Linked DNA regions of Lonchura striata. The protein of the gene in region 2 binds, or shares a complex with, the protein of the main gene of each other region. Links are inferred from orthologs where the notes say so. Each region holds a gene or a part of one and is shown on either strand. Other genes may lie near its edges.

What was found.
Region 1: the proteins of APAF1 (region 2) and CASP9 are in contact, whole or in part, in a crystal structure (PDB 4RHW), measured with the Homo sapiens proteins. The link is inferred for Lonchura striata from reciprocal best matches to the Homo sapiens genes APAF1 and CASP9. Residues at the interface, in NP_863651.1 of Homo sapiens: Thr22, Ser23, Tyr24, Met26, Asp27, Ile30, Ser31, Ile37, Glu40, Glu41, Arg44; in NP_001220.2 of Homo sapiens: Asp23, Trp26, Asp27, Leu30, Arg36, Pro37, His38, Glu41, Gln44, Arg45.

The regions. Positions count from the first base shown.
Region 1 is NC_134626.1:7,670,049-7,681,114, reverse strand, and holds the start of CASP9 (caspase-9), read right to left. Parts: upstream 4,385-11,066; coding exon 4,253-4,384; intron 3,361-4,252; coding exon 3,141-3,360; intron 2,755-3,140; coding exon 2,674-2,754; intron 2,513-2,673; coding exon 2,481-2,512; intron 544-2,480; coding exon 367-543; intron 1-366. Other genes in the region: DNAJC16 (dnaJ homolog subfamily C member 16), read left to right, coding at 8,773-8,933, 10,032-10,098, 10,894-11,066. UniProt on the Homo sapiens protein: Involved in the activation cascade of caspases responsible for apoptosis execution. Binding of caspase-9 to Apaf-1 leads to activation of the protease which then cleaves and activates effector caspases caspase-3 (CASP3) or caspase-7 (CASP7).
Region 2 is NC_134607.1:55,458,722-55,469,790, forward strand, and holds the start of APAF1 (apoptotic protease-activating factor 1), read left to right. Parts: upstream 1-6,630; 5' UTR 6,631-6,690; intron 6,691-6,700; exon of another isoform or gene 6,701-6,828; intron 6,829-7,775; 5' UTR 7,776-7,779; coding exon 7,780-7,917; intron 7,918-8,182; coding exon 8,183-8,372; intron 8,373-9,620; coding exon 9,621-9,818; intron 9,819-10,797; coding exon 10,798-10,981; intron 10,982-11,069. Other genes in the region: IKBIP (inhibitor of nuclear factor kappa-B kinase-interacting protein), read right to left, coding at 1,826-2,650, 3,507-3,624, 4,317-4,510. UniProt on the Homo sapiens protein: Oligomeric Apaf-1 mediates the cytochrome c-dependent autocatalytic activation of pro-caspase-9 (Apaf-3), leading to the activation of caspase-3 and apoptosis. This activation requires ATP. Isoform 6 is less effective in inducing apoptosis.

The DNA.
Region 1 (11,066 bases), on a different chromosome or scaffold from region 2:
TGAGTGAGCAGAGAACCATGTTCTACTTTCAGATGATCAAGTTCCCCCTGATGCTTCCAGTAATGGCCAAGGACGGCACAGACAGACATGATAAAGTTGTCCAAGCTATCCCAAAAACACAGTCTTCACCAAATCCCTACAAATCCCAACCTTACTTCATGCAGTAAGATGAAAATGTGCAAGGTCCTCTCCTCTTCTGCAATTGCAGCACAACAATAAAGAAAGAGAATGCAAGTGGTTCATTGTTTCTTTATGGGAGGTTTTTGATGTGCTGCCAAAACACAAGACACATCCCCTAAAGCATTCCCATCACTTCCAGGGGCTCACCTCTCATCCCTCGTGTCAGCAGGACACAAGCAGCCTCACCTGAGCTTTCAGATCCCGCCGGGTCAGGACGGTGAAGCACAAGGCCTTGAAGCGCCTCTCCAGCTTCTCACAGTCAATGTCGGAGCCTTCTCGCGTGGACAGACCCGAGTCTCTGCAGAAGTTGACGTTATTGAGGATCAGGCAGTGTCCACAGGGATCTGCTTTCATCTCATAATCCTGGAAGGAACACGTCACAATTGAACTTCTTCTTATTCCAAGAGCTTGCTGGCTAATCCAGCAGGATACAATGCCAGTGAGGAATGGGAGTCCTTAAAGTGGCTCATTTCACAGCTTTTTTCATTTCTCTAGTCCTAGGGATGGGTAGGAGTACCCTTTCTCCACATACATCTTCTCATCAGCAGCCAGGAACAAGAGGCAACCCACTAAACTGGGCAAAGCCTTTGTGGAAACCTGGCTGCTGCTTTATTTGTAGCATGTCCAACAGCAAGTTGAAATTTCTGGGAACTTCTTTTAGGCATTATCATCAAACCTCACCAAAAGGAGCCAAGAATTTATGTTATCGCTGTGGCAATCTTAAGGAGGACCTGGTTAATGACTGATCCACTCTGAGACCATCGGCCCTGTTACAGCCTTGGAGCAATTGCTCAGGTAAGACAAGGTGAGATCCAGCTCCTCCAGGAACATTTTCTGGAGTCACCCCTGAGGCACAGAGCTTTTGCCTAGTAGGGAACACTTTCAGCCTATCGTGGTTTGACACGGAAAAAGAATTTTCTCGGAAGGAAGAGGTCAGTCCAGTCAGGGGTCAGGTTTGGATACTGACACTTGGGGTGACCAATTGAGGATGGACACGCCTCTGAGAACACAGAGGGGTAAAAAGCAGAACTCCCAGGAGAACTCGCTCTCTTTGGTTCTGGTCATGGGAGGGTGCAAACCTCTCCTGCCCAGCCATGAGCTGGGTGGGGAGGGGAAGCCATGTGGCCTGCAGAGGTAGGCCAGGGGGTGAAGGGTCTGAAACCGAGCTGGGCCAGTTCCTGCAGATGGAAGGGTGGAGAACGTCTGAGATGTCTTTGTTGCCCCCCCAGCCTAGAGGAAAAGACATAGAGAGCCTTCAGACACCCAGGAGTTTGCCAGCAGAGAAGGAGGACGGGGTGGGGGGAAGATGCCCAGTGTGGGAGACAGCACAGCCTCCTGGGCCAGAGATTTCAGTCGTCCAGGGAGTTTGGGAATTTTAACCCTTTCCTGTGAAATGAAGGCTTTGTGAAATATTGCTCCTCCTCAATTTGAAGGAGAGACAGCTGGGGACCTTAGTTGTTAGGGAAAGAAGGTTGGGGGGAGATGATCGAGTGGCTTTTGGCTGGACTCTTCTTGTCAGCCATAGACTGAACCAACTTCTCCTCCAAGAGAGACTGCATTCTAGGGGGATGCAATGGTGAGCCAAGAAATTCCTCCAGCAACTCCCAGTTCAGGAATGAACAGATGTCAGCTGAGGAGGGTGTGATGATGCCCTCTGTCCTCCGAGAAGAAGAGAAGGCAATCTCTGTTCTTGGACCCCCGGCCCCAGGGGAAAATGGGGGGGACTGTAGTCCCAAAATGAGACACTGGACTGTTGTTCCTGTTGGTCCTTGGCAAAGCATCCTTAAAGGGGCCCTATAAGCAGTCTCCATCCATGCACAGTGGTGAGAGCACTGTGACATGGAGAGGAGAGTGTCACACTGGCAGATTCTCTCCAGGCAGTGCCACATGTGACATGGAAACACAAGAAGTGGCAGCTGTGTTTCCTGGGGGTCTATGGTGCAAGGGAGACTCCTCTCTCCCTTGATGGACTCAGGATTGATTATGTGGAAGGGTGAAGACTTGATTAAGAGTCCAAATGTGTCTCGCTGTGGTTTGTTGGAGTTGGGTGATGGGAGGAGGAATGTTTTGAAAGGTTTTCAGTTTGAATTTTGTGTGTGTTTTCTTTTTTCTTCCTTTTTTCTTTTATAGTAGTAGTAGTAGTAGTAGTGTAATAAAGTTTTCCCCTTGTTATTAAGTTTGGCCTGCTTTGCTCTGTTCTCGATCGCATTTCACAGCATTCAATTGATAGGTTACATTTTCATTGGGGCACTGGCATTGTGCTAGTGTCAAACCCTGACACAGCCTTCTCAAATACTAACCTGATCACGGCTCCTCTTGTCAACAGCTGAACCTACAACACAAAACAGACACAGGATTCAGTTCACCGCACTCCACAACAAGACCACACTCCTAGAGTTCATGTCTTTCCCACCACATATGAATTTCCCCTTCCCACCACACTGGAAACAAGCCTTTGGCATGCTGTGGCTCTAGAAGTGGAATGTGGATTACCTCGGGCTGGCACAGGAGGCATTCGAGGTCGTTCACTCTCAGCTTGGACTGGGATAGACAAACGTTCGTGAGGGATCACATCTGTAATGGCATGGGACAAAAATACAGAGGATGAGTCCAAGCTCAAAAGGTTCCACTGCTGAAAAGCAGGACACACAGGCTGCCCTGAAAGGCTGCTGTGGAGAGGCTCCCCATCCCTGGCAGTGCTCAAGACCAAGCTGGACAGGGCTTGGAGCAACCTGGGATAGTGGAAGGTGTCTCTGCCCATGGCAGGGGATGGAATGAGATGAGCTTTAAGGTCCCTTCCAACTCAAACCATTCTGGGATTCCATGATTCTCCCAACAGCCACCTCTACCAGGATACTAAAAATCATGACTTCTGGACTCTTGCCCACAGGGAGACGAGTCCCAGCTGCCACCTCCCATGCTGCTGTTTGCCAAAAACACAGCACACCCTCAGCACTGACTTTTACGCTGTTTTTCCTCCTGCAGCTCCAGCTCCACGGGCTGCAGGTCCGGCAGCTCCGTTGGCACCGGCCGGGACTCGCACTCCTGGATCAGCATCTCGGCGAGGTGGCCCTGCCCGGTGTCCCGCAGGATGGAGAGGAAGGCAGGGAAAGCCTGCTTCCCCCGGGTCTCCAGGTCAATGATCAGCTGCCGGGCTTGCTCTCCCCGGCTGCCAGCACTCTGCAGAGGAGAAAATCCCACGAGAGGGGCTCATGCAGTGCCTGGGCAGCCCTTCCGACCGCTCTGAGCAGGGGAATGTGGGATCCACACCCAGGACATGGACATGGGGTAAACAAGAGCAAAACCGAGTGGAAATAGTCAGAGACCCCCACCAGACCCTGACCTCCCTCCAACAACAATGGTCACGACTGGGAAACCCAGCCCAGTGAGGGGTCTAGAGGGAAAGAGGGAAAGGGAGAACCCCAAGTCTGGCTCCTGGGGACCAGGGGCACCCAGGCACCCCTGGGCTGTCACCAGTGTGTAAGATGGGGTAAAAACACCCCCAGGCCTGTCACCTGTAACCAAGGGGGGAAACATGAATACCTTAAGGGTGCCACCAGAGTGGGATGGGGACAAAAGGAGAAACCCCTACACCTGGCACTGGCGGGGGACAAGAAGGGACAAGTGGGGGAAGGCAGTTCTCAAACATCTTATCTGCACAAGGACCAACGTCAGGCCTTGTCATCGAGAGTGAGGGGACACAGGGCCATCCCTTTGCACCTGTCACCAGGACTAAAGGGACATGGAGCTCCCCTATGAGCTTGTCAGCAGAGTGGAGGGACCTGGGGTCTCCCTTGGACTTGAGAGGACACAGGACAATCTCACCCACGTCTGTCCCTAGAGTGAAAGGACTTGGGGGCCACCCGTGACTTCTCACAGGCTCAAGGGACATGGGTTCCCCCTTTGGGCCCAAGAGGACATGGAGCCACCCCTGCCAAGGCTGTCACCAGGGTGAGGAGACATGGGGGCCACCCTTCAGTCGTGTCACCAGGGCTCAGGGGATGCAGGAGCTACCCCGCCATGCCGGTCCCCGGGCCAGCCCCGGTGCTCGGTGTCCCGCTCCCCGGCCCACCTGCAGCTCCTCCAGCATGGGCCGGGTGAAGAGCCCGCGCTGCTCCAGCGGCTCCCAGAGCGGCTCCACCCGCAGCGCCGCCACCAGCCGGGCCCGCCCGCGCCGCAGCGCCCGCCGCTGCCGCTGCTCCATGGCCCCGGGGCGCCGGGACCGCGCCCGGCCCGGGGCCGCCGTTCAATGCCCGGGACCGCCGTTCAGTGCCCGGGACCGCCGTTCAATGCCCGGGACTGCCGTTCAATGCCCGGGACCGCGCCCGGCCCGGGGCCGCCGTTCAATGCCCGGGACCGCCGTTCAGTGCCCGGGACTGCCGTTCAATGCTCGGGACTGCCGTTCAGTGCCCGGGACCGCCGTTCAATGCTCGGGACCGCGCCCGGCCCGGGGCCGCCGTTCAATGCCCGGGACCGCCGTTCAATGCCCGGGACTGCCGTTCAGTGCCCGGGACTGCCGTTCAGTGCCCGGGACCGCGCCCGGCCCGGGGCCGCGCCCGGCCCGGGGCCGCCGTTCAATGCCCGGGACTGCCGTTCAGTGCCCGGGACTGCCGTTCACTGCCCGGGACCGCGCCCGGCCCGGGACCGCCGTTCAATGCCCGGGACCGCCGTTCAATGCCCGGGACCGCCGTTCAATGCCCGGGACTGCGCCCAGCCCGGGACTGCCGTTCAGTGCCCGGGACTGCCGTTCAATGCCCGGGACTGCGCCCAGCCCGGGACTGCCGTTCAGTGCCCGGGACCGCCGTTCAATGCTCGGGACCGCTGTTCAATGCCCGGGACCGCCGTTCAATGCCCGGGACTGCCGTTCAATGCCCGGGACTGCCGTTCAGTGCCCGGGACCGCCGTTCAATGCCCGGGACCGCCGTTCAATGCTCGGGACTGCCGTTCAATGCCCGGGACCGCCGTTCAATGCCCGGGACCGCCGTTCAATGCCCGGGACTGCCGTTCAATGCTCGGGACCGCCGTTCAATGCCCGGGACTGCCGTTCAATGGCCGGGACCGCGCCCGGCCCGGGACCGCCGTTCAATGCCCGGGACTGCCGTTCAGTGCCCGGGACCGCCGTTCAATGCTCGGGACCGCCGTTCAATGCCCGGGACCGCCGTTCAATGCCCGGGACTGCCGTTCAATGCCCGGGACCGCCGTTCAGTGCCCGGGACCGCCGTTCAATGCCCGGGACTGCCGTTCAATGGCCGGGGCCGCCGCTCAATGCCCGGGACTGCCGTTCAATGGCCGGGGCCGCCGCTCAATGCCTGGCATCGCCGCTCAGTGCCCGGAGCCGCCGCTCAGCCCCGGAAACGCCGCTCAGTGCCCGTACCCACCCCCGGTTCCCTTCCGGAGCCGCTGCTCTGCCCCGCACCCGCCCCGCTGCCCCGGACCCGCCCCCGGTGCCTTCCCGGAGCCGCCGCTCAAAGCCCGGAGCCGCCGCCTCGGAGTCCCAGAATCGCACACGGAGTCAGGCTGGAAGAGCCCTGGTGTGCCCCAGAAGGGCCATGCCAGAGCAAACGAAACAGGATTCCGTCCTTTTGTGTCTTGGTGTTTTGTTTTGGTTTTTCTTTTAGTATCTCCAGGGATGAACACTCCACACCCTCTCTAGGCACTGTGTCAGCCGCACAGCAAAGTTCTTCCTTGTGTTCAGATAGAACTTCCCGTGCATCAGTTCCTGCCCCTTGCTCTTGTGCCATTTCTGGTCCCCCCGGAGCAGAGGCTGAGCCGTCCCTGCAGACAGGGACAGACAGGGACAGACAGGGACAGACGGGGACAGACAGGGACAGACGGGGACAGACAGGGACAGACAGGGACAGACAGGGATAGACAGGGACAGACAGGGACGGGGATGAGGGCCCCTCCCAGCTGTGTCTCTTCTCCAGGCTGAACAGCCTCTGCTCCCTCAGCCCTTCCTCAGCAAGGGAGTTGCTCCAGGCCCTTCCTCACCTTCGCTGGCGAGGAGCCCAGGGCTGGACAGGGCACTCCAGGTGTGCCTCCCAAGGCTGGGCAGAGGGGCAGGGTCACTCCCTGACCTGCTGCCAGTGCTCCTCCCAGTGCACCCCAGGGCCTCTGGGCCCCCAGGACACTCTGCTGGCTCCAGGACAGCTCATTGACCGTGGGACCCCCAGGTCCTTCCTGCAGAGATGCTCCAGCAGGTCACCCCGCCTGTGCTGGTACTTGGGGCTGTTCCTCCTGGGGCAGGACTTACATCTGCCCTTGCTGGTCATCATTAATTTTCTCTCTGTCCAATTCTCCAGCCTCTCAAAGTCCTGCTGAATGGTAGCACAGCCTTCAGGTGGATCAGCCAGTCCCCCAGGTGTGTCACCCAGTCCCCCAGCCTTCAGGTGGATCAGCCATTTCCATATCATCACCAAACCTGCTGAGGGTACATTCCATCACTCTGTCCAGATTGTTGATAAACAAGCTGATTAAGACTGGGCCCAGTATTGATCTTTGGGGAAGCCACTGACTGCAGACCTCCAAGTGGATGATGCCCTCTGCACTCTGCCACCCAGACAGCCCTTGATCCACCTCACCACCCATTCATCCAACCCACATTCCCTAAGCCAACTGTTGTGGGTTTAGCAGAGCTGCAAATTAGGTACCACGCAGCTACTTGCTCAGCTCCCCCCTTCTTTTCCCCTCCCACCCTGTGGAATGGGAAGGAGAATCAAAGTAAAACTTGTATGTTGTGAAAATACTGGTTTAATAATTGAAAATAAAGTAAAATACTGTAGTAATGGTAAATTATAACAATAACAACAACAACGATAATAACAATGATAAAGGGGAAAACAAGTGATGCACAATGTAGTTGCTCACCACCCACTGACTGATGTCAGATCCCTTTCCTGAACCCAGATCAGCTCCTTCCCAGTCACTCCCCTCAGTTGATGCACTGGACATTCTGTGGTGTGGAATATCCCTTTGGCCAGTTCAGGTCACCTGTCCCATCCATGCTCCCTCCCAGTTTCCTTAGTGAGTCTCCTGACTGCCAGAGCACAATTCAAGAAAGAAGTCTTTGACTTTGGATTAAAAAAAAAAAAAACAAAAAAAAAAAAAAAAAAAAAAAAAAAAAAAACAACACACCACCAAAATAGAATCACAGAACATGCTGAGTTGGAAGGGACCCACACAGATCATTGAGTCCTGTTCTCACAGAGGACACCCCCAGAGTCACATCATGTCCCCAGAAGTGATGTCCGAATGCTCCTGGAACTCAGACAGGCTCCGTGCTGTGTCGGTTCCCTGGGGAGCCTGTTCAGTGCCCGACCACCCTCTGGGGGAAGACCCTTTCCCTAACATCCAAGTTAACCCTGCCCTGACACAGCTCCAGCCATTCCCTCGGTCCTGCCACTGTCACCAGAGCAGAGATCCGTGTGTGTCTCTCCCTCTCAGAGGATGAATCTCCCCTCAGTCTCCCCCAGGCTGAACACCCCAAGTGCCCTCAGCCGCTCCTCCTCCCCTCAAAGCCCTTCCCCACCCTCACTGTCCTCCTCTGGACGCTTTCTAACACTCCATATCTCTGTTATTTTGTGGTACCCACACCTGCCCTCACACTGCGGCGAGGCCGCCCCAGCGCAGAGCAGAGCGGCCCGGGACCCGCGACCCGGCTGGAGCTCCCGGCTGCCCCGGGACCCGGCTGGAGCTCGGGGCTGCCCCCGGACCCGGCTGGAGCTCCCGGCCATCCCCGGACCCGGCTGGACCTCCGGGCTGCCCCGGGACCCGGCTGGAGCTCCCGGCCGCCCCGGGACCCGGCTGGAGCTCCCGGCCGTCCCGGGACCCGGCTGGAGCTCCGGGCTGCCCCGGGACCGGCTGGAGCTCTGGGCTGTGCCCGGACCCGGCTGGAGCTCCGGGCTGCCCCGGGACCGGCTGGAGCTCCCGGCCATCCCCGGACCCGGCTGGCGCTGCCGGCTGTCCCGGACCCGGCTGGAGCTCCGGGCTGCCCCGGGACACGGCTGGCGCTGCCGGCTGTCCCGGACCCGGCTGGAGCTCCGGGCTGCCCCGGGACCGGCTGGAGCTCCCGGACATCCCGGACACGGCTGGAGCTCCGGGCTGCCCCGGACCCGGCTGGCGCTCCGGGCTGCCCTGGACCCGGCTGGAGCTCCGGGCTGCCCCCGGACCCGGCTGGAGCTCCGGGCTGCCCTGGACCCGGCTGGAGCTCCGGGCTGCCCCGGGACCGGCTGGAGCTCCCGGACATCCCGGACACGGCTGGAGCTCCGGGCTGCCCCGGACCCGGCTGGCGCTCCGGGCTGCCCCGGACCCGGCTGGCGCTCCGGGCTGCCCCGGACCCGGCTGGAGCTCCGGGCTGTCCCGGACCCGGCTGGCGCTGCCGGCTGTCCCGGACCCGGCTGGCGCTCCCGGCCGCCCCATCCCCAGCCCAGCCCGCCCCACAGCGCCGGCACAGCTCCTCCGCAGGGCCCAGCGCCGCCCCGCTGTCCCGGAAGCGCCGGGTCTCCATGGGGACGGCGGGCGGGCGCGGCGGAAGCGGCGGCGCTGGCGCGGGAGGGCGGCGCGTCCGCCGCCTCCGCCCGCGGCCGCCGCACCATGGAGCCGGCCCGGCCCGGCGGCCTGCCGCTGCTGCTGCTGCTGCTGCTGCTGCCGCTGCCCGCGCCGGGCGACTTCGACCCCTACCGCGTGCTGGGCGTCGGCCGGAGCTCCAGCCAGGCCGACATCAAGAAGGCCTACAAGCGGCTCGCCCGGGAATGGTACGTGCTGCCCTTGCGCCCGCTCCGCCCGCCGGCAGCGGCCCCGGCCGCGGCTCGGCGGCAGCGCCGGCCCCGCGGCGGCCTCAGCCGCTGGCCCCGCTGTGCTCCTCGCAGGCCGGCCTGGCATACAGAGATGCCCCATGCCGATACGCGCTGTAAAACCCTCCGGAGGCTGGCTGCGGGGGGAGAAGGTCGCTCAGAGTCTGCTTAGCAGGGGAAATGCTCTCCCAGAATCAGGCTGCGTGGGGGAAGGTTCTCCTGGAATCTGGCTACGGAGGGAAAAGTTCTCCTGGAGTGTGGCTGTGTGGGGGGAAAATTGTCGCAGAGTGTGGCTGTAGGAAAAAGTTCTTCCAGAGTCTGGTTACAAAGGGAAAAGGTTCTCCCAGAATCAGGCGACAGGGAGAAAAGTTCTCCCTAAGTCTGGCTGTGCGGGGAAAAGTTCTCCTGGAATCTGGCTACAAGGGGAAAAAGTTCTCCCAGAGTCAAGCAATGGGGGTAAAAGTTCTCTTGGAGTCTGGTTGTGGGGAGAAAAAATTCTCCCTGGGAACTTGTAATTGATGAGGGCTGAAGTCTCAGCTTGATGCCTGGGTGTCCAAGGGCCGTTCAGTCCCTGTGCTGTGGACGGGAAATGTGTTGGATGCACAAGCATCGTGCCCCTCATGCAGGTGGTGTGTGGTGAGGGCCAGACTTAGGCATGGAAATAAAATGAATAAAGTTGCTTACCTGCAGCTTTTAGAGCCCATGTTGTTCTGTGTGAGACATCCCTGAGGCCGTGGCAGCTGGTGATTCAAGGGAGAACCCGGTAGTTATGTAGGGCAGCAGCCAAGGGAGGCATTGCTAGGAAGGAGACACGCTCCATGCCCTGGGCTCAGGCTGCTTGGGAAGGAGCAGAGAGAGGGACAGGTCCACAGGCACATGGCACACATCCCACTGCTGCATTTTGGGATGGGGTTTGGGCAGTGACAGCACGTGCTGGGTATAAATCTGGTCTCAGCCTCGGGGATGTCAGTGCACGCCCTCACTGCCCATGTCCCCCTCAGCTCCAAACAGAGGCCAGCAGCTCCTACTGACCCCTTTTCCTCTGGTTCTGCCCCACAGGCACCCTGACAAAAACAAGGACCCAGGAGCAGAGGACAAATTCATCCAGATTAGTAAGGCCTACGAGGTAATACATGCTTCCTGTGAACTCCTGCTATCGTTAACATTAAGTGACCTTAGTTTTCCATACATGGTTTTGTGTTTTTCCAGTGTATTTCTATGTGGGAAAGGTGCTTGACTCTGTGGAGGTGGACATTATCTACCCAAAAAATTTGCTCTGCCTAAAAAGCCTGAAAGAAAAAAGGAGTGGGTATTCCCCAAGCCCTGCCTGGCTGTGCAGCGTCCTGACTGTGTCACACATACATAAAAGCATTTTGGGGTCATGTAAGCACCATTCATCATCACAGGGATTTAGTCACCTCAAATTATTCTTAGCAGTAGTTATTTGCATGTTCTGGAAATTGTTTACTCCAGTTTGTGGCAGCCAAGCCCATGGAAATCAAAATAAATCCTTATTTCCCTGCTAAAAAATGCAGTTTCTCTGCAGGGCTTCTGGCTGCTCAGTGAAACTTTTGGCACTTTCTGAACCCTCTAGATTAGAACAGACACCAGCAAAACCTGCTCCAGAAAAGAGTGTTTGTGTTCAGAACACAGGATGTTCAGACCCAAGGAGCTGTTGGTGACAGAAGCGGGTACAGCAGTCTGGATTTAGGGCCTCCTTTTCTTTGGGCTTTGAGGGTTTTTTACCCTAATTTACCTCAGTGAGCCGAGAAGGATGTGATGCTTCCTTTTTCCAAAATATTTATCTGACTGATTTGCAGCAAAGATTGCACATTCCTTATGTTAATTACTGAGGGATTACAGTCAGGGCAGTTCCCCCTCATGGTTTCAGGCAATAATTTTTCCATAATTTGCTTTCCAGATTCTCTCCAATGAGGAAAAAAGAGCAAACTTCGATCGCTATGGAGATGCTGGGGAAAGCCAGGGCTTCTCTCAGCAGCAGCATCGCCAGTTCCACCGCTTCCACGATGGCTTCTATTTTGACGAGTCCTTCTTCCATTTCCCTTTCAATTCCGAGAGGCGCGACTCCTCCGA
Region 2 (11,069 bases):
AAATAGAGACAAAGTGCTATTGCTGTTGGACTACCTTTTGTTCAGCTGGAAACCACAATCCTATTCCTTCCTTTGCAGCAGGAAAGTGAAACTGGAGATCTGTCATTCTTGGGTCCTGCTTTCTTTGTGAAAGCAAACTCTAAAACTAAGAACTTAATTCTGTACTTTAACACTGCTTTATTATACAAAAAAACCAATTTATTAAATATAGCATCTCTCATTCTTCAGAAAGAAAAATACATGCAGAGAGGTACATTTTTTGTTCACATTATTATTTCTCCCTTGAAATAAGTATGACTTTTTCCTGTCCTGTTCAAAAGAATAGGACAAATTTCAGGTTTAGGTGTGCTTCTAAATGAAGCATTTAAATATTGCCTGCCTTCTCAGTACTACACATGATGGGAGTTCACACTCCTCAAACATTATTCTTTAGGCAATTGCCTTTCAGTGATCAATTAATATCTGAAATCTTAGTTATTTCATCTTTCACATCCTTAATCTCAGTTTGAACTCTTGTTAGATTGGCCAATTTCTCATTCAGTAAAGCAATTTCTTTCTGCCGTTGCAAAACTTCCTCCACTAATCTTCCTATTCTCAGTGTTAGGTCATTTATTAAGGGCTCCAAGATGGCAAACTCCTTTTTAACTCTGTACATCTTAGGTTTCAAATCATTTGCAAATGCAACTGTCTTCAGAACTTTTGCTCTGTCACCTTCAAGATTCAAAAGTCTATCAGAATGCTTGTCAAAATTGCTCTTTAACTCAGACAGTGATGTCTTAATTTGCTCAATTTTTCTTGCGTTACTGGATGCCAGGCTTTGTATTTTCGTACTTCGGTCGATGCTACTGGTAAGGAGGTCACCTATATTTTTTACTGTTGCCTTTTCACCTTTTTCTACTTTATCTTCTAATGTTTGCAAAGAATCTGTCAGTGCAGTCATGTCTGAGACCAGGCCTGAAATGCGCCTTATGTCAGTTTTTACTGTCACAATTGTCAATGTTATGTTTTTTGCTACAGAAGCTGCATCCTGTTCAGCGCTTGAAACTGCATGAAAAAGGCTTGTTAAATTCTTCTCCAGTTCTTCTTGTTTTTTAATTATGCTGCTAGACCATGTTTTCATTGTATAAATATCTTCCTGCAGATATTTAATGTGAGAAATTATTTGAAGATCTTCCAGTTGTTTCATTAAGTTCCAAGTCTTTTCACACTAGAGGGATACAAAAATATTTCTAGCTTAAGAACTCAATGTCAAAATTCAAGCTATACTTTAATGAAATACCTTACTATTCTGACATTCAATTTGAGTGCAAAACCTGTCTCTAGGAAATCAATTTCTGTTATAACACAACCAGATTTTTTTTTTTCTTGTCAGTATACTTAATAAATGTTAGTACTTCTTCTATTGCAACAAAAAATTACAAGAAGGTGCCACGTGACTTTCCAAGGTGACCTCTGAAAACACAAATCATCAGTTCACTGTGTTACAAGTCTATGGAAAAAAATACACAAAGTAACAACAAAAGAAACTAGGTAGTGAAAACTAAATACAAACTAAAAATATTAACTTTCCCCCCCTTAAATCTAAATACCTGGCTTCAAATTGTTTTTAATAAAAAAACTGCAAATAATCCTTAATTTAAGAAAATATTACTTTCCTTCTTTAACAAAGTGTTACTTCCTTGCTCACTACCCTCTTTCTCCACCTTTCAAGCTGTTCCAATGATCTTTAGATCAGTGACAGTACATCAGTGATCTTTGATATAGGTTTAAATCACATTATTTATAAAAAAGTGCTTTTTCATCAATGAAAAGACTAAGACCAAATTCACTTATCCCCATTCTGGTCATTTTCGAAGTTAAAGCTTTCTAAAGTTACTTCTGCTTTTGAAGATACTGCTATGTCAGGCCCTGCTTCTAGAACAGCTAGCTCATGCAGCACTTTGAACAAGCTGCCATTGGACTGGAGGCCTTCAAGAGCCTTCTGCATCACCACTGTATCAGAAACAGTTTTCAGCATGTCATTTTCCACAGCGTACAGCTGTGTCTTCAAGTCCTCTATCTTTTTCTCCATACCAAGCAATTCACTTGACAACCTAAGAATGGAGTGAATAGCATTTTCAATTGTTGGCAAATGGCTCTTGCACTCCTCAATTTTAGGTTCATAGTTTGCAAGTTTCTGATTCAGGTCTGTGTCCTTGGCTACCAGACTATTCTGTTCTTCTTCTATCTTTTCAACTGACTTTGCATCCAAGTTCAACTTTTGTTCAACTCTAGAAAATTCATCATCTTCTTGCTTTTTTAGTGTTCTGATATTTCTGGCTGTACTGTCTTCCAAATCTCTTACTCTTTCTGCAAGGGATTTAATTCTTTGGTCAACTTCATTAATTTTGGAAGTAACTTCTGTATGAATGAACTTTGCTTCAGATTTTAAACCACTAGCATTTGTGTTCATTTCATCCAGACTTCTTCTCCAGGGATTTGTAACATTTTGGAACTTCTCATTAATTCTCTGCATCTTTAGAGATAGAGTCTGTTCATTGTTCTGAATATCATTTATGGTGTTATGAAGAGAAGATATTTCCTGCCCAAACTCAGTCATCACAGAGATGGATGAGGCAGCTTCTCGCAGGATACTTTCAGAAGACTCAAGCTGCATTTACAACACAAAACAATGTCTGTGTCTACTTAACAAAAGTAACAACAGAAAACCATTTCCATTTATTAAGAGATAATAAAGTCCCTTAAAAACCACTGTACTTGTTACAAAGTTCCTCCATGGTGTGTTTCCATGGTTCCTCTTTAAAATATCATTGATTAACCTAGCATGAAAAAGTATGTCTGTTGTTGAACTTCTATAGCATATATGCAATTTTCCATGCTTGTTTTTTTTTGTCAAAAATACAGTAAATCCCATGCAACACTTTGAAATCTGTAGTATATAAATATCCAAATTACATAATATATGAATGACATAATTCAGAGATCAGTGCTGAAATAAAATCACTGGCATGAGCCATGCCATGCTTCCATCATTATTCATAATGTATCAGGGATAATTCAGCAGCCAGCACATCTTTTCTACTGGATAATGTCACACGTGGTAATATCTTTTTTCATTACTATAGTATTTTCTTATCTATCACTTTATTATGTCTTCATATTATTAGAACAGGTCTGCTACATCAAAATGCCGGTACATTTTCTTCAAATCAATGTACCTAAGAATTGCACATGAAAGAGGAATGGTAAATGAAACATGCATATATGTAAGTTCTTAAAAATACTTTAGTTTCTAAAAAATTATACTGAGATACAACCTACTGGAACAATGGCATGGATTGACATGCTTTGTCACATGAAATAGTCTCTAAATGCCTATTCACAGGCAAGTAAAACACATTCTGAAAACTTGTTTTAAAACAGGCAGTTAAATTAATGAAATAACAGTGAAGTAAGCAATGACAAATGTTCACAAAAGATCATCCAATTGAGATGTTAATTATTACCTTTTCAGAAATTAAGTTTACTTTATTTCCCACATCCAGGATTTTTTCAGCTTCTTGATGTAAAAAATTGTACTTTCTTTCCAGATCAGAAAATTGACCTGACTGCTGAAATAGAAACCTGGAAATTTCAAGCAAATAAACAGAAAACGTAACTTCTTAATTAGTATATATTAAGTATTTCAGGACCTGATTCAGAGCAAATTGTTACTGGAGGGATTTGTTTTCACAAAATTTGCTAGATCAATATATGGCAAAAAAAGAAAAACAAATTGATCTGTCTTGATACTTCTACAAAAGGTATGACAGCAAGGAAGCATTGATAGATGTCTTTGCTTTTACACTGCATGCTAGGGTAACTAAGGCACTGATGCTGCTAAGATATTTTAAAACATCTTTAACAAAGGCATTTGACCTTTACTTAAGGACTCCACCTGATGAACGGTTTATTACACTGATGAGGAAATGATTTAAAGAAAACTCTATTTCACTTCTTCTGTCCATTTACTGCCTGCTCAACGAGCACTTCCTGTCAGCCTAAGTCGCTCTCCAGGAAGATGCAGTCTCCAAAGCAGGTCTTTAGAATTCCTGAGCAAGGCACCTTCAACCTCATGTAACAGATGGAGCTTCTACAGTAACTCACTGCACGCCCATGTTTCCCTGCTTGTAAATACTGCTACTCTTTCCTGGATCCTTCTGGCTCTAACATGTTTCTGTAGACACTTAGCTCAAGCTCTCTGCTAACATGAAAATCACACACCCCACAGAATACAAAAGAAAATACTAAAATCCTCTTTAGAGAGGGTTACCTACCAGCTCACCACCAGGCAAACAGCAAGGGAAACGACACTCAAGCTTGTCCTTGAGTCCATCCAAAAGGAACTGTGATTATTGCTGGTCCTGGGACTTGCCAGCTTCCCATAATTACTGTGCTTCTCAGCCTTCTGTGAATCTTCATTGGTCTTGGATGAAGAAATACCTTTTTTCCTTGTCTTAACTTCAGACATTTTGTGGTTTTAAAAAGCAGAAGCAAAGGAGAAAGCTAGGAAAAAAAAAACAAACAAGAGAAAGGACTTGTTTTTAACTTCTTACGTTTTAAACATCCTCAAACATAAACTGTAAGTACATAAATACACCTCCAAAAATGTTTCTTTTGCTGTTCACTATGCTTCCTAGTAAAGTATCATACTTTCACTTGCTTTCTATATTACAGAGCATTGCTATCATATTTTCTCCAGCTGAATTGACTTTCCAAGCTTAATCTAACTTCATGTTTCCAGAAATATTTTGTCTGTTATAGAATAAGTTGTTTTAAACATAGATTTAAAATTACAAGGATTAAAAGTATATTTCTTTTTGTAGCTGATGACTGTCACAAGTTCATCAGCAATTTCACTGATGTACTTGTGTTTTACCTGTAGATTTAAAAAAGAATTATCATCTACACCACACTAAAAGGGGAAAGTTAATTTTTCAATTTAAAAAATAAAATTGCAAATCAAGCTTTAATTTAGTAGCTCTGCTGTAATGATTTCATGTCATCTGTAAAATCACAAACATCAGTTAACAAAAAGTCATGATAAAAAAGTTCAGAAGATTCATTAAATCATTCCTCTAGAAAACAGAAAAACTTCCTGTTGATAAAATTAAGATCAGAATAGACTGAGGCAATATGAATCTCCAGCTCATATTTTAACCATCCAAGTGAAGTACAGAGTGTAGTTTTTAAGCCTAAAATCTCCCACCATACTCCTCAAAATAGACTTGATCCTTGTCAGAGTTGCTTTAGCCTAATTTGAGACCAAATTGTTCTGCTGGGGTTTTGGATCACTTAGCAGCATTGCTGCTTAGTCACATATCAAAATAGAAATATTTGGAGATACTTACATAGTCATGTACAGGGGTAAAAGGTATTGTTTAAAATCCAATCTGTCATGCAGGTAGTTTAGAGCTGTTTGAGCCACAGTACTAGGAAGTACACTCTGAGCTTGAAGCATGGAGAAAAAAGTTTTTCATTTCCAAAAAAAAAATCCACCAAAAGAACCCCCAAACAAAACACAAAACACACACACAAAAAAACCCCAAACCAAACAAAAAACCCCCAAAAAACAAAAAAACAAACACACAAAAAACCCCAAAACAAAACCAAAAAAAACGCAACCAAAACAAAAACCAAACAAAAGAAGCCACCAAAACGGAAAAATTGTATTTTGAAGCTTTTAAAACATCTTGGGGTTGGAGAGAATATATTATTAAGTTAAAATGGAGGGAAAAAAGAGAGCTCTGAATAATAGTTAGAAAAAGAGTTTAAGAGAGAAAAGCTCTGCTTTTAAAGGACAGCTTCTGCGCGCAGCCCGGTGCGGCAGAGAGGGATGAGCCGCAGCTCCCCAGAGACCCTTCCGGACCGGTCCGCTGCCCCCAGAGTGACCCACATCCCCTCTTCTTCCCCCAAAGTGACCCACATCTCCTCTTCTTCCCCCAAAGTGACCCACATCCCCTCCGCTCCCCCCAGAGTGACCCACATCCCCTCTTCTTCCCCTAAAGTGACCCACACCCCCTCCGCTCCCCCCAGAGTGACCCACACCCCCTCCGCTCCCCCCAGAGTGACCCACATCTCCTCTTCTCCCCCATAGTGATCCACATCCCCTCCGCGCCCGGGGCCCCCGGCAAGCCCGAGCCCGCCGTGCAGGATTCCCCAGCCCCGGCAGCGCCGACCTCCGCTCTCCCCTCCCTGCGGCCGCCGCCCCGTACCCGCCGCGCTCCTCCGGCCCCAGCGGCGGGCGGGGCCGCCCTGCCCCGCAGGCACCACGTTTGCAGGCCCGGGCCCCTCCCCTGGCCGCGGCTGCCGCACGCCGCCCGCTGCGCCACGTCCGGGCCCGCCCGCCGCGGGCGGCGATCCCGGCAGCACGGCCGGGCTCGGCGGCGCGGGGCTTTGTTCGGCGGCGGTGAGCGCCGAGCGGGCCGGGCACCGAGCGGGCCGGGCACCGAGCGGGCCGGGCCGGCCCTTCCCCGCCCAGGCCCGGAAGGAGGAAGCGCTGCCGGCGCCGCCTGCCCGGGAGCCGCGGGGTAGCGGCTGCGCCTCGGGGCTCGGCGGGGCTCGGGGCCGGCGGGGCTCGGGGCTCGGCGGGGCTCGGGGCCGGCGGGGCTCGGGGCTCGGCGGCTGCCGGGGCTCCCCGCTGCCCGCCAGGTGAGCGCCGTGCTGGACGCGCAGGGACGGACCGCACCGGACCGCGAGGGTTCCGCCGGGGCAGGGCAGGGGCCGGCGGGCGGGCGGTCTGAGCGCCTCGGTCTCCATTTGGTTGGCGGCTGGCAACAGCAGCACGCTGTGAGTTAACCCTTTGTTTTGGGTGTGTTTGTGGAGCGATTTCTTCTGTATTTGCCTCGCTTGTAGCAGTATTGTTATCTGTTTAGCGTCCCCTTTCCTCCGCTGTGCGGTGGGATGAAGGTAGTGTGCAAGGCTTTCTTAACTACGTAATTTTTAGTGACTATAGGAAATTCTGTCAGCACGGCGGAAGGGGCTCTCCATCACGGGCTTACCCAAAGGCAGCTGCTCTGCGTCTGCCCAGCTCCTGAAGGAGAGGGTGCCGGAAAAGGCCAACGCTTCTGTGTGTGCTCTGTGTGAAGCTTCGACTTGTTTATGGAGCTTTCCTGGCAGGAGTGTCATCAGAGAGAGCGTTTTGGTCGATTGGGACTCTCGGAGGCGCTGATCAGTTCTTTATGCCGTAGTCAATAGTTTTCACCTGTTTTCTTCAGACATTTGGTTTTTTATGATATGGAGGGAGAATGCAAGTTTGAAGTTGCGTGTGCAAATGCTGATAAAGGAAGGTACAGCGCAGTCAATGGCAGTGTTGGTGCTCCCTCTTCCATCATGTCAGGAGCCAAGTGTCCTTGAACTTGGAGACAACAATGCGTTTATCCCGTGCAATGAGGCCAGTCCTCTTTCTCATCCTGTTGACCCAATCACATAATCCAAGGACTTAAAAAAAAATGGGGGATGTAGTGAGTGGGGAGAAGACCTTTGAATAGAGACATTTAGCAAGATGCTAGTATATGAGAAGCTTGTAGTCTTTGGTTTTGTAGTTCTGAAAGTGTTCATAAACATAAATTCATAGGAATGGGAAAAAAAAATGTGTATTTTCAGAATTAGTGCTTTGCTACTCCTTCTGATTTTAACACCAAAATTTATAAGCTGTTCTAAAACTTATTTCCTCATGCTTGTAAGTTATGTTCCCAGTCTGACTTTACTTTCCCCCACTCTTTTTCACTCTGAAGAAATATGGATGTCAAGAGTAGAAACTATTTACTTATGAATCGTCAAGCACTGGAAAATGACATCAAGACTTCTTATATTATGGATCGTATGATTTCTGATGAAGTATTGACATTACAGGAGGAGGAGAGAGTGAAGCAACAGGTAGAATTATCTCTCACTGCTATTTCTTTCCCTAATCTACTCACATATTTTACCATCCTTTTAAAAATAGTAATTTCTGACTATCTAATTCCTGTATTTATCGAATTCTAGCACACAGTTTTTGTTGCTCAATAAAGTTAAGGGCTTGGTAAATTAAAGACTATTTCTGTAACTATAAATAGTCTATAATTTACAAAGTGATAGATTAAATTATTTTTGGAGTTTCTTAGTTTTGTAATACCTCTTCTAATTTTTTTTTTTCTAGAATACACGGAAGGAGCGAGCAGCTATGCTAATAAACATTATTCTTACAAAGGATAATAATTCATATAGATCCTTTTATAATGCACTGCTCCACGAAGGGTACAGAGATCTTGCTGCACTTCTTCAGGACGGCATCCCTGCCGTCTCGTCTGGTAACAGAAAAAGTTCAATGGATGGAATGACTTCCTACGGTCAGTGTAACTACAGCAATCCCTGTGCTGGAGTGTGAACAAAAGTTGTCTTTTTTAATCCTTAGAAAGTGGCTATGTGTAATACCTGTTCCAATGAAAAAGGAGCAGTTGGTGCATTTGTTTATTTTGGTAGTATAGTAACTATGTCTATTTCTTCTGCTTAATATGGCAGGAGAATTACAACAGTTACTATTTTTATAGCTCACCTTGAAAGTGTTCATATTGAATAATGCTGATTTTAAAAGGTAGAAGAACTGATGCTCTTATTATTTTCTCTAATTTGTAAAATTTTTGTTGTAAGTGAAAGACAGACTTTCATTTGTATCTATTAAAATAAAAACTTGTAGCCTCCAAAATTCTGATATTTATTTTGAAGAGTAATCTGGAATCTCTCAACCTACATTGATCTAGTTGATCATTGATTAATTGATCTAGTTATTAGGTTACTTAATTCTTTCCATCAGATCTTTTAGTTACCTTGTATAAGTTCCATAACTTTTACCCGCATTGTCATCAGGATCATCTTCGACATGAAATAAATTTGTAGTTTCTAATGGGCAGAACCTTCTAACTGCATATGACTAACTGCCATATTTACTGGCACTCTGCATGTAGTAAGTGTCAAAGGCATGTGGAGTTCAAGGCTATCTTAGATAATCAAAGTTTATCAGTTATGTCACTTCATATAGCCACAAAGTGGGCAGATGAAGTGCACGTTTCCTTTTCTGTTATGCTTTACCTCTTTCAAGTCATGCTATCTCAGCTTAAAGCAGTGGAAGTCTTGCTTGGACCCCAGTGCTGTGCTGTGAACTGCCAAGGAAAGGCCCTACACAGCATCCTTTCTTTTTTGCTGCATCCACGGTGTGCTGACCTCTGGCTGAGAAAGTGACTTGATTGTTTGGTATAGTAATGTTGACCTCCTGTGTTTGCCACATTTTCCATGGGAGATATTAATTCTCTCTTCACTTCTAGGGATTAATGTAATAAGCTTTCCCAATGCAGTTATTAATTTGAACACTGCTTTAGGTAGGGAGCTAGTTACATGCTAAGTATTTTTATTTCTAAAAAGCAGTATTTTTTTGTTATTTGTTATTTGTAGTCCAGCATATTTTAGGGCATTTTTATAGGACATGAGGTGGGGAGGAAGCCCACTAGTTATTTTGGATGACGAGTTGTTTGGTTGAGTATGAAGAGGCATCTCATTTAGAACTCATGTTTTATTTTGATGTTTCTTGTTCTTAACTTTAGTGAAGACCATTCTCTGCGAAGGAGGCGTACCACAGAGACCGGTTGTTTTTGTCACTCGACCAAAACTGGTAGATGCTATTAAAAAGAAACTGTACTGCTTGGGAAGTGATCCAGGTTGGGTCACAGTTTATGGAATGGCAGGCTGTGGGAAGACTGTTTTAACAGCAGAAGCTTTAAGGGATCCTCAGCTCTTGGAAGGTACTTTCAGAAAAGCATCTGTATTTTTATAAAAATCACTGTAGATTTACACATATTGGACATGAATGGTGCATATGTCACCTTGAAAGTGATTTGGATTTCTTAATTTCTTAGGTGATTCTGAAATGTTTGCTTGCAATATACAACTTCCATAACCATGTGGTGGTCTAGGACCACTAAGTGTTCTATTAGTTTGTAGAAAAAGGTTTTGAATAGCTTTTCACCTTAGAATCTGCTGTGGTTTATGAGAGTACGTGCATCCTTGATTACCTTAAAATCTTTATTTCTTTTAGTGCAAAATAATATATCCAGTTATATTCCTTTTGGGCATTGCTTATAAGGTCCTCTGACTCCTTGCTATATGAGTTTAAAAAACTTTTTAATAGTAGCAGACATTTGTGGGTGATTAGTATTGCCTTAGCTTAAAGTAGATCATAGATACAAACATTTAATGGCATTTTTTCTATTTTATTTATTTTTCCTTGCATAGGACACTAGGAGGAGAAAGTAGGACTTGGCATTAAAGAAAAAACGATGTAGGGTTAGATACTATAGCATCCTCTGCTACAGCTGACTCATCTAGGTATCTTCTTGATCACTGTCATACCCCAGGCTCTGAACTCTTGCAGTACTACATGGTTAAAAATGTAAATGGTAGGTCAGACGAGCAGAAAGATGGATGCAGAAGGGGCTGTGGAGGGACAGGAAGGAAGACGTGTAGAAAGGAGGGACAACAGCATCAGTGATGGTGTGAAATTTCTGTGGGTACTTGTCTTACAGAGTCTGTTCCTTTTAAAAATAAACAGGAGTGGTCTTGTAGAACCACCCTTGTGTGTTAATAGCAGAGTTGCAAGGATGGCTTGCAACAGATTTTAGAGATTTGTGTTTCAATTAATGCTGACTTACTGCTGTAAGTTGCTATAAAATATTTTAAATTATTTAAAATGTATGGCATGATTAATATTGCTTTTCTTGTTAGATTACTTTCCAGGAGGAGTTCACTGGATCTCTGTTGGGAAACAGGACAAAGCAGGGCTGCTCATAAAACTTCAGAATCTCTGTAGTAGATTGGAACATGACTCCACTCTTTCACAAAGGCCACCACTTAACATTGAGGAGGCTAAAGATCGTCTTCGTTTGCTGATGTTACGCAAATACCCCAGGTGATATCACTAAAATCAAATACTTTTCTTTTACTTATAAAACTTTGCAGAGTAACTTTGGTCTAATCATCTGAGGTATCTGTGGTTT